2 linked regions of the Caenorhabditis elegans genome follow. The protein of the gene in region 2 purifies or fractionates together with the protein of the main gene of each other region. This does not show direct contact. Each region holds a gene or a part of one and is shown on either strand. Other genes may lie near its edges.

Evidence for each region.
Region 1: the proteins of Y87G2A.20 (region 2) and ucr-2.3 fractionate together in Caenorhabditis elegans (co-fractionation; one large-scale study listed by BioGRID). This does not show direct contact.

What each region holds. Positions count from the first base shown.
Region 1 is NC_003281.10:877,590-881,983, reverse strand, and holds ucr-2.3 (Peptidase M16 N-terminal domain-containing protein), read right to left. Parts: upstream 2,125-4,394; 5' UTR 2,120-2,124; coding exon 2,045-2,119; intron 1,994-2,044; coding exon 1,937-1,993; intron 1,895-1,936; coding exon 1,748-1,894; intron 1,704-1,747; coding exon 1,275-1,703; intron 1,211-1,274; coding exon 871-1,210; intron 824-870; coding exon 588-823; 3' UTR 526-587; downstream 1-525. Other genes in the region: zer-1 (Zyg eleven-related protein 1), read left to right, coding at 1-103; T24C4.5 (DNA primase), read left to right, coding at 2,410-2,509, 2,555-2,813, 2,865-3,075, 3,120-3,425, 3,478-3,558.
Region 2 is NC_003279.8:13,528,153-13,533,472, forward strand, and holds Y87G2A.20 (F-box domain-containing protein), read right to left. Parts: upstream 3,311-5,320; 5' UTR 3,293-3,310; coding exon 3,274-3,292; intron 3,196-3,273; coding exon 3,057-3,195; intron 2,673-3,056; coding exon 2,569-2,672; intron 1,015-2,568; coding exon 913-1,014; intron 833-912; coding exon 762-832; intron 713-761; coding exon 554-712; 3' UTR 538-553; downstream 1-537.

The sequences.
Region 1 (4,394 bases), on a different chromosome or scaffold from region 2:
AGATGTCGAGGAAGAAGATGAAGGAGACGTTGAGGCAGATGAAGAGGTTCAAGACTTTGTCAATGTCGATTTTGATGATTATGCTCTTCCAATGGAGTACTAGGGCTTTGTCCTGAATCCTATAAAAGTTTTCTTTCATTTCTGTTATTTTCTATCGGGTAAGCACCGCTCCTCTTCTTTCTTCTCATACAATTTAAACCACTTTTCACCCAAATCTGTGTTAGTTGCTGTTCAGGAATCACTGAAATCAAAGTTATTCTTCTCTAAAGCTCCCCACGCCGCCTTCAATCTCTGTACATTATTATTTTTATCTAGAATATCCTCATTGGGTTCTGGTCGTTCTTCTGTCTGTCCATCATCCCGGTTTCTCCCCATCCCGTCTTATTCAGTTTCTGTTCCCAAGCTCCTCTCTGTCTTGGCTATTGTCATTCTCGTGCAATTCTATTTGTATTTTACTGTACATCTTCCCGCTAAAAACTGAGCTCTTTTCCATTTCATAGCTTCACTCTGAGTCTATGGTAGTAAACGATTTGATGTTTTTAAGAGAACGAAAATTAGCACAAAAAGTTGACAAAAACGAATTTAAATTAAAGCTCGTCGGCATATGGGATTCTTCCGTAATTTCCATATGCAGAGATGGCGAGACGTTCGAACGCGGCTTTGGTGTACTTCTGCACATCACTTTCTTGAATTTTTTGAATTTCCGCAATCAATTCCGACTGTTCTGGACCGTTGTAGAGGGCGTTTGTCGCCAAATCGTAGGCAGAGTAGACGTTGTTTTCAGCGTTGAACAAGATATCGGCGATAGCACGGCGCTTGCAGCCTGAAAAATATTTTATTTTAAAAACCAAGGGCTAATCTCGACTATACCTTCAATATCCTGAACTTGAGTAGTTCTCAACACCTTGACAGTTGCTCGAACAGCAGAATCTGCATTAGCTCCGGTTGCGAGCAAATAAACACCAACAAGGCCACTTCCATCATATGGTGCCTGGAATGCACTTCCAGTAACTCCTTCCGGAAGATTCGCAAGAGCGAGTCCACTGGTTGATCCTGGAAGTGATGCAAATTTCAGTGGAGAAGCACGTCCGATGTGAGCGAGAAAAACTGCCTGGGCAGCCAAAAATTTCAGATCTCCAACCGCTGCTCCATCTCCAGCAACCATTATATGAACATCATTTCCACGAGCGAAACGGCGATAGTCTCCACCCTAAAATGATTTTTTATTCAATATTTATTCAACATAATAAAATTTTTTTTTAAATTTTTCTCACCCTGAAAGGTGACCCCTGATTGGTGATGATATGCCCGTCTGGTACGACACCACACTCCTCGGCATAACTTTTCAAAATAGACCCATCGACATTAATTCCAACGAGAACGGCATTTCCGGATACAAAATGCTTGGCAGCGAACTTGGCAAGTTCCTGGGATTTGTAAGCGCCAACTTGTCCTTTGGAGGAGTACAGTGAAAACGAGAGGGAATCATTGCGGAAGGCAGCGCGATGAATATCCTCAAACACAATTCCATATGGAGTTTTCTGTGATAAATCAGCAAGAATTGTTGGAGTAACATCCTCTAGTTCCCATGGTTTAAAAGCTGGTTTGGCAGCAACGTGGCCGAGGATTGAGAGAGCGTAAGCAGCTTGATCGCGAGCAACACTTATTTGAACACCGAAAATATCACGGGTAGCGAAAGAGTTCTGAAATTAAAATGAAAATGGCAATTTAAAGAGAAAGAATTAACCAAATTGGCTCCACTGGCGGCTGATGACCAAACAAGCTGCAACCCTGGATAAGATTGAGCATCTCTTCCAACAAAGTTTCGAACGTGATGCACAAGTCCAGGCTGAGTGACCTTTTCATAACGAGAACCAGCACGAAAAGCGAGGATCTAGGAAATCGCAAATAGCTTTATTACTCGAATGCGACTCACCAATTGACTAATCGCTCCATTATTTTCTTGAGAAACAACTTTCAATCCATTGTTCAGCTGAAAATTCGATTTTAGTCGACTGAAAATAGGTTTCAACAAATAAATAACCTTTGTTTTGAGTGATCCTGTTGGTTTTTGGGTTTTGATGGCAGCTGCACTTTTAGACACAAACGATGATCTCATTTTACCTTTAAATAACTAATTTACGGAAAAAAACAATAATAGAGCGAGGAAAACGCAAATTAATAACTTGATTAAAAATGAGAAAATGATTCGTGAAATTCAAAGATGCGCGGTCGGTGTTGCAGACAACACACTGAATCTTACGACAAAACACACACTGTGATGAAGCATGCAAATGAGTGATAAGTTTGACGGAGTGATAATGAGAGCGGGCCATATGTGCGTGTTTTTGATAATTTTTTACACTTTCTAGCTTGAACCAAATATTTATACTTTTTCAATTTTCAGAAATGTCTTATAACTCAATCAGACTCCCACAAGATTTGCCAATATACTACAAAAACTTCTTCCCAGTCAAACCATTCACAAAATGGCTCTGCTACGGACAGAGTGAGTTTCGCTTTCGATTTTCTTAACGTTATTTGAATTTTGCAGATTACGGAGACTATTTCAACCGCCGAGAATTCACATTCATCCTGGCAGATGATGTTCATATCAGATATCGTAGTTACAATGACGAACACTCATTTGTCAAAGCACTTTCAAGTACTAATCCTGAAAAACTTGATATTGGAGCTGTCTACAATCACGAGCCAATTAACAACAAGAGATATACAGATTACCAAGCTGTGGAACGAGAATTGGTTTTTGATATCGATTTGACCGACTACGATCCAGTTCGTAATTGTTGCAAGTGCGTTATTAAGAGGATCTGTAATCCAATTTTCGAATATCTAATTTTTAGAGATGCCACCGTCTGCCCAAAATGCTGGAAATTCATGGTTCTCGCTGTCAGAATCTTAGACTTCCAACTGGAAGAAATGTTCAATTTCAAAGCACGAATGTGGGTCTTTTCTGGTAGACGTGGAGTACATTGTTGGGTCGGCGACAAGAAAGCGAGGATGCTGAACAACAATCAAAGGTCTGCAATTGCGACTAGACTCAATTTATTCAAGGTTAGAAGATTTGTCTGTTTTTAAAAAATAATTTTTTTTCACAGAAAAATGGTCAATGCGAGGTGACTGAAGGTCGGGCCAAATTGACGAGAGTTCCGCCGACTGTGCGTGACGCTTTTAATGTTGCATTGAAAGATGGAGTTTTCGAGAAAATGATCTATGAACAGGGATGGCTGGATAATGATCGTTTTATCATAGATTACCAGTATATGTCCGAATTCGGCAGAGATGACTTGCGTAGAATATCCGAGTCTTTCAAAACTCCACAAGAACGCTGGCACATGCTTCGTGGGCTTTTTGATAACGACTATCGCAAAACGCTTTCTCAAAATGACGGACTTCTCGATTTTGTAAGTGGAAGCTTTGAGATAATAATCAGAAAATGGATAAATTAATTTTCAGACAATGCAAGGTCGCGACCGAAAAAGGTTCTTCTCTACTTTGTTCTTCAACGATGTTATCCACGTCTTGATGCAAATGTAACTACAGGTGAATAGTTTTTTGTTAAATACCTAGAAAATAATTTCAAAATCAAAAAGAAATCATCTTATTTCAAAATAATATAGTAAATTCACCAGATTTTGACATGCATTGACATGCATGACATGCAGTCACACGGATTGATTCAGATGGGTCTCGGCGTGCAAAAAAAACTCCGTGGTAGTATTTTTTATTTTTGCGGCTGCTTCCTCGTTCATTTTCCTGAATTTTGTTGTTGAAAAATAGAAAATAAATGAGGAAACTGCCAAAAACATTAACTTTTTAGCTATCTTAATAAATTCTTGATCCTTTAAGGAGACATGCCGAAATCTTGGGAAATTACGCTACTGAAAATGTTCTTTGTTTCGAAAAGAGTTTTTCTTTAGAATTTCCCGCCCCACAGATTTCGAAAAATTTAAAAATATCTGAACGAAAAAAAAATAGTTTCCTAACTAGTCAATTGATTTTTTAATGAAACTGCGTTGATTTTATACTAAACATGCACATTTTACAGGCACAAATCACTTGCTCAAATCCCCATTCTGTATTCATCCGAAGACCGGAAACGTTGCTGTTCCTCTGAATGTCGAAAAAATTGGCGAGTTCGATGTAAGCAAATGCCCACGAATTGAGTAAGTGAAAAGTTGTATTTCTAATATTATTCTCAAAAAATTTTTAGTCATGTCGTGGAAGAGTTAAGCAGTCTGTTGACTGAACGAGGAAACGATGGGGACGAGGATTCGAAGAATCGAAAATTCCTGGCGTACAAGCATGGAGCTCTCTCGCCTTACGTTGAAAACTTTGAAATGTTTGTATCGGCTTGCATTTCATAAATTACT
Region 2 (5,320 bases):
AAATTCAACTCGGAAATTGGTTGAGGCTAAAACTACAAACTACAAAACAAGCTGAGCCTCAACCAAATATGTGTGCATGTGACATCTGTTTCCATGTATATTTTGCTGTCTGCGTCTCTTACTCTCTCTCTGCTGTCACCCGGGGTGTCCCTTTTTAATCCATATCCTCCCTGCCTCCAGATGTTTCTCTTATTAAGGCTCAGGGACACTACAAACTACAAACTACAAAAAGTTGTAGTTTGTAGACTGTAGACTACAAACTACAACATTATAAAAATTTATAGAAAAGACATAATTTTGAAACAATTAATTAAAATTTATAAAATTTTTTAACAATAACAATTTTTAAGAACTTACAATTAGGCTTAGGCTTAAGCTTAGTCTTAGGCTTAGGATTAGGCTTATGCCTAGGCTTTAGCTTAGCCTCCCGCAAGTTCATAAAAATGATAATTGAAAGCATTTTCTGTCGATCATAGTTTTCAAATCTGACAACAATATCTGTACTAACTCAATAGAAATAAAATAATAACCCATGAATTAAATAATAAAAAGTTTATTGATGTCCAGGAATCAAAAACAAAGCACCAAATCTATTCGACTGAAAAGGGCCTCTAGATGTGCACGTGGGCCGTTCTGAATCCTTAAATAATTTCATTCGACCTTCAGCACTACTCATGTGTTGAGCTTCCATGATTTGATGATCACTGTTGTTCTGAAAGAAAATTAAATATTCATATGAAATCATATATATATGCTCTAACCTTGATATACTCCAAAAATTCGTCTTTAGTGAGCTCCGCAACTGATTTCCGTATGTTTTGAAGTTGATCCACTGAAGAAATAATTAAATAATTAAATAATTAAATAAATAAATAAATGTTTGAATAAATATGTTCATTTATTCATACTTACATGACATTCCAGAAAACTTCATTCCACCCTCTTTATCATTTCCAGCATCGTCCTCTTCTTCGCTTGCTGGTTGTTGTTTTGGTTTCTCGGCTTTCTTTTGTGCTGAAAATGTTCTGCGTTTTCAGATGAAACAATGTTGAAAAGCTTGTTGTCTACAAGTTAAGTCATGTTTCGACATCATCTAGGTCAACAGATAAAGCGGCCGACGCCTCGTGAGTGCATTTTTAACATTTCTCTTGACACCGACCCTGTAACTCAACCAGTAACCCGAGAATGTAGAAAAAATTGTCCCCAAACAAATTTATATTTCATGTATGCATTCGCTTTTTGAAATAATGACCAGTTATATATATACATATATGTTCAAACAAGCACTACTCGAAAACACATGATTTTTGAAATTTTTTTTTGATTATAAATTATAAATAACTACTATTGTAGTTATGTTTTTTATACTTGAACAACGAAAAAAGTTTTCAAAAACTTTACTGATCATTATTTCAAAACGCGAATAGAAATTTGTTTAATTTTATCAAAAAACTCCACATTCCTGACTAGGGTGCCCGTCAGAAGGTGCCCATAGGACTTGCATATGAAACCTATGTCATTCGATAGCCCATGTCTTAAAACGGTTACTCGTGAATTTTTAGCTGCGAATCTCCAGATTCAAGCTCACGGCGAGCTCTCGAAGATCCTGAAAATAGCACTGTAACGAAGATTTGAAGGGCCAATTTTCCAACTTCACTTCGGTAGCTCATATCTCGGCAGATAAATTTTTTACAGAAAAGTCATCAACTAATAAGTTGTTGAACTTTTTGTAAAGAACAAGTTTGTAGTTGAAAGTTTTTACCAAAAAAAGTGTTGTTTCAGATAGAAGCGCGTGAAGTGCGTTCAACTGTTGTTACTATTTTAATGCTGCTACTGCTACTATTCTAATAATTTTATCTGAAACAACACTTTTTTTGGTAAAAACTTTCAACTACAAACTTGTTCTTTACAACAATATCAACAACTTTTTAGTTGATGACTTTTCTGTAAAAAATTTATCCGCGGAGATATGAGCTACCAAAGAGAAAATGGGAAATTGCTTCTTTAGATCGTTAAACTTCTTCGTTACAGTGCTATTTTCAGGATCTTCGAGAGCTCGCCGTGAGCTTGAATCTGGAGATTCGCAGCTAAAAATTCACGAGTAACCGTTTTAAGACATGGGCTATCGAATGGCATAGGTCTCAAATGCAAGTCCGATGGGCACCTTCTGACGGTTCCCTAATGAGTCATAATCGACTCGCGAGGTGTCGGCCGCTGTTTAATGTTTAATCATGGTTTAATTTGTACACAACAATCTGAGTTCCTAGTGTTATTTTTTTGCAAAAACTCAAAAATCAGCGAGAAACCAAAAAAAAAGCATATACTTTTCGCCACCAATGTGCAATTTTTAGGCATAGGTCTAGGCTTAGGCTTGGGTTTAGGCTTGGGACTTGCTTTAGGTTTAGGCTAAGGCTTGCGTTTAGGCTTAGTATTAAGCTTAGGCATAGTCTTAGGCTTAGGCTTAGACTTAGGCTTAGGCTCAGGATCAGGATCAGGCTTAGGCCTATAGTTGAACAAGATTAATTTTGTTTTTTTGTAAAATTTTGTTCAAATTTTGAAAAAAAAAACCTTTCTGCTTCTTCTTTTTATCCTTTGATTTTTTCTTTCTTTTAGCAGCATCCTTTTTTGTTTTCTTCTTAGCTTTGTCGGCTTTCTTTCGTTCTTTCCGTTTTCTGTAGCAAAAAGCAGTTATTACGGAAGCACAAAACTATAAGCATGCGTATTGCACAACATATTTGACGCGCAAAATATCTCGTAGCGAAAACTACAGCAATTCTTAAAATGACTACTGTAGCTCTTGTGTTGATTTACGGGCTCGATTTTTAAAATCGTTCATTTATTAAGATTTATTAAAATATTAATGATAATAATAAATATTAAAGCTGGCAAAAAATGAGAAAATATCTTCGAAAATGGAGCCCGTAAATCGACACAAGCGCTACAGTAGTAATTTAAAGAGTTACTGTAGTTTTCGCTACGAGATATTTTGCGCGTCAAATATTTTGCACTGTACGCATTCTCAAAATTTAGTGTTCCCATAATATAAAATCTCTTACTTTTGTGCCGTTTTAGTCCATTTTTTCTTCATTTGAGCTTTTCTTTTCGTCGCCTTTGTCTTTGTTTTATTCGCTTTTCCACCTTTTTTTGGTTTCTTACCGCCACGAGAAGCGGGCCGCTTCTTTGCAACGGGTGCTTCTGCAATTTTTAAATTTAATTTAAAATTTATAAAAATTAAATTTAAAAAAAAAGCTTGAATACTTTTGAATAGCTTACTTGATTTTTTTGCAGGCATAGTTGTATTACATTGAGAAATTGAAAGAAATAAATCAAATTTTTATGAAAATTTTTATCAAATCAATATGAAAAACCATGTTCCATTTTTTTCACGTCTGACCTTTCTTGTTTTCAAATTTATTTTTCCAATAATCAATTTAACGTGAAATTTCAATTCGACATAACAAATTAACCTTATTTTTTCATTTTCCAGAAAAAAATTATATTTCTTAGTTAGTTAATTAGGTTCATTTGCTCTAAATCAGACATTTTTTAAGGTCTCACTTCAAAAATTCTCCAAGAAATGCAGAAATATTTAGGCTTTGATCATGATCAATCAATTCCCGCCAATCTGTGAAAATTCTGATTTTTAGGAATATTTTTTCCCGTCTTATTTGCATGTCGTAGTTTAGTCAATTTTAAGGTTTTTTGGAGGATAACTTTTAAAATGATAAAATTCACTTTTCTGGAAAATTGAAAAATAATGGGCATATTATTAAAATTTTTGTCTTTTTTGGTCCTTTTTCGGCCAATATTTATGGGATTTTCTGGCCCGACTTCGAAAAATTCCCTTTATCAAGATTTTTTGTAGTTTTTCCTTTTTTTTTTGGTTTTCACCCCTCTCCAGATAAGCCTAAGCCTAGGCCCGACTTCAAGGCCTAAGCCTAATCCTAAGCTTACGCTTAAGCCTAAGCCTAACCCTAACCCTAACTCTAACCTTAAGCCCAAGCTCAAGCCTAGTCCTAAGGCCAAGCATAAGATTAAGCCTAAGACTAAGCCTATGCTCAAACCTGAGCCGAAGTCAAAGCCTAAGCCTAAGCCTAGTCCTAAGCCATGGTGCAACCAAAAAATTCGACCAAAAAATGTATGATTTTTAAAATGTCTGAAACTTATGTCAAATTGAAATTTGCTTTTAAAATTGAGTTTAGACATTTTTTAAGATGAGAAAATTCAATTGTTTATTTGTTTTTTTTTCAAAAAAAACTTTAAAGGGGGAGTAGAGTTTATGGGGAAATATATGTTTCTGACTCTAATTTTGCCCCTGATACCGAATATCGATGTGAAAAAATTTAAAAAAATTTCCCTGATTTTATATTAATTTTTAAAATCCGAAAATCCATTGGATGCCTATATGTGAGTTTTCAAACGCAAAATTTTCCCGCCAGAGACGCCCCGCCCACGAATCCGTGCCGCACGTGTGGGTTTACGAGCTGAATATTTTCCTTCTATTTTTATTTGATTTTATACCGATTTTCGTCGATTTTTCTCATTTTTTCTCATTTTTTTGGTGTTTTTTATTGAAAATTTTGTGATTTTCGTAAATTTATTCCTATTTATTAATAAAAACAAAAACAATTCCATTAAATATCCCATTTTCAGCGCAAAATCGACTGGAGACGAGGAAAATCGTCTGGAGATAGAACGAATCAACAAGATTATTATTATATCATTAATAATATTTATCAATTTTCTTCTGAGAGTCTCATTGAGACTCTTATTTACGCCAAGAAATAAATTTAACATTAAAATTGTTCATTTTTGAAAAAAAAAAATTAAAAAAACACATTTTTTGGAAAAAAATAAAATAAAATAAATTGTCCTCGAGGATCCTCCGGAGCGCGTCGAATCAATGTTTCCGGAACTCTGAAAATTAAATGTTTGTATTATTGTAGAACCTTTTCGTTATTGAGATTTGATAACTTTTAAGTAATAAAATTTTCGCAGTAGGACATTAAAACATTTCACAATTAAGCTGGTTCTGAACTGTGTGAAGTATATTGAAAAAAACTAACTGATACAAAAATATAATTTTATGATAGTTTTCTGGATGTCCCAATATAAACGATGTCAATTCTGCGACATGCTACAGTCATCCACGAAAGTAACCCGAATACCGACAAAAGAAGAGGAACGCCAACTTTGGATAGACGCTCTAGGGGCTGATTTTGGTCGGAAAACGCTTAAATTTTCAGCGAACGAACTATTTTTTTATATTTTGATTGTTTTTAAATAATATTTGCCATAAGAAATTCTCACTTTTCCAGGA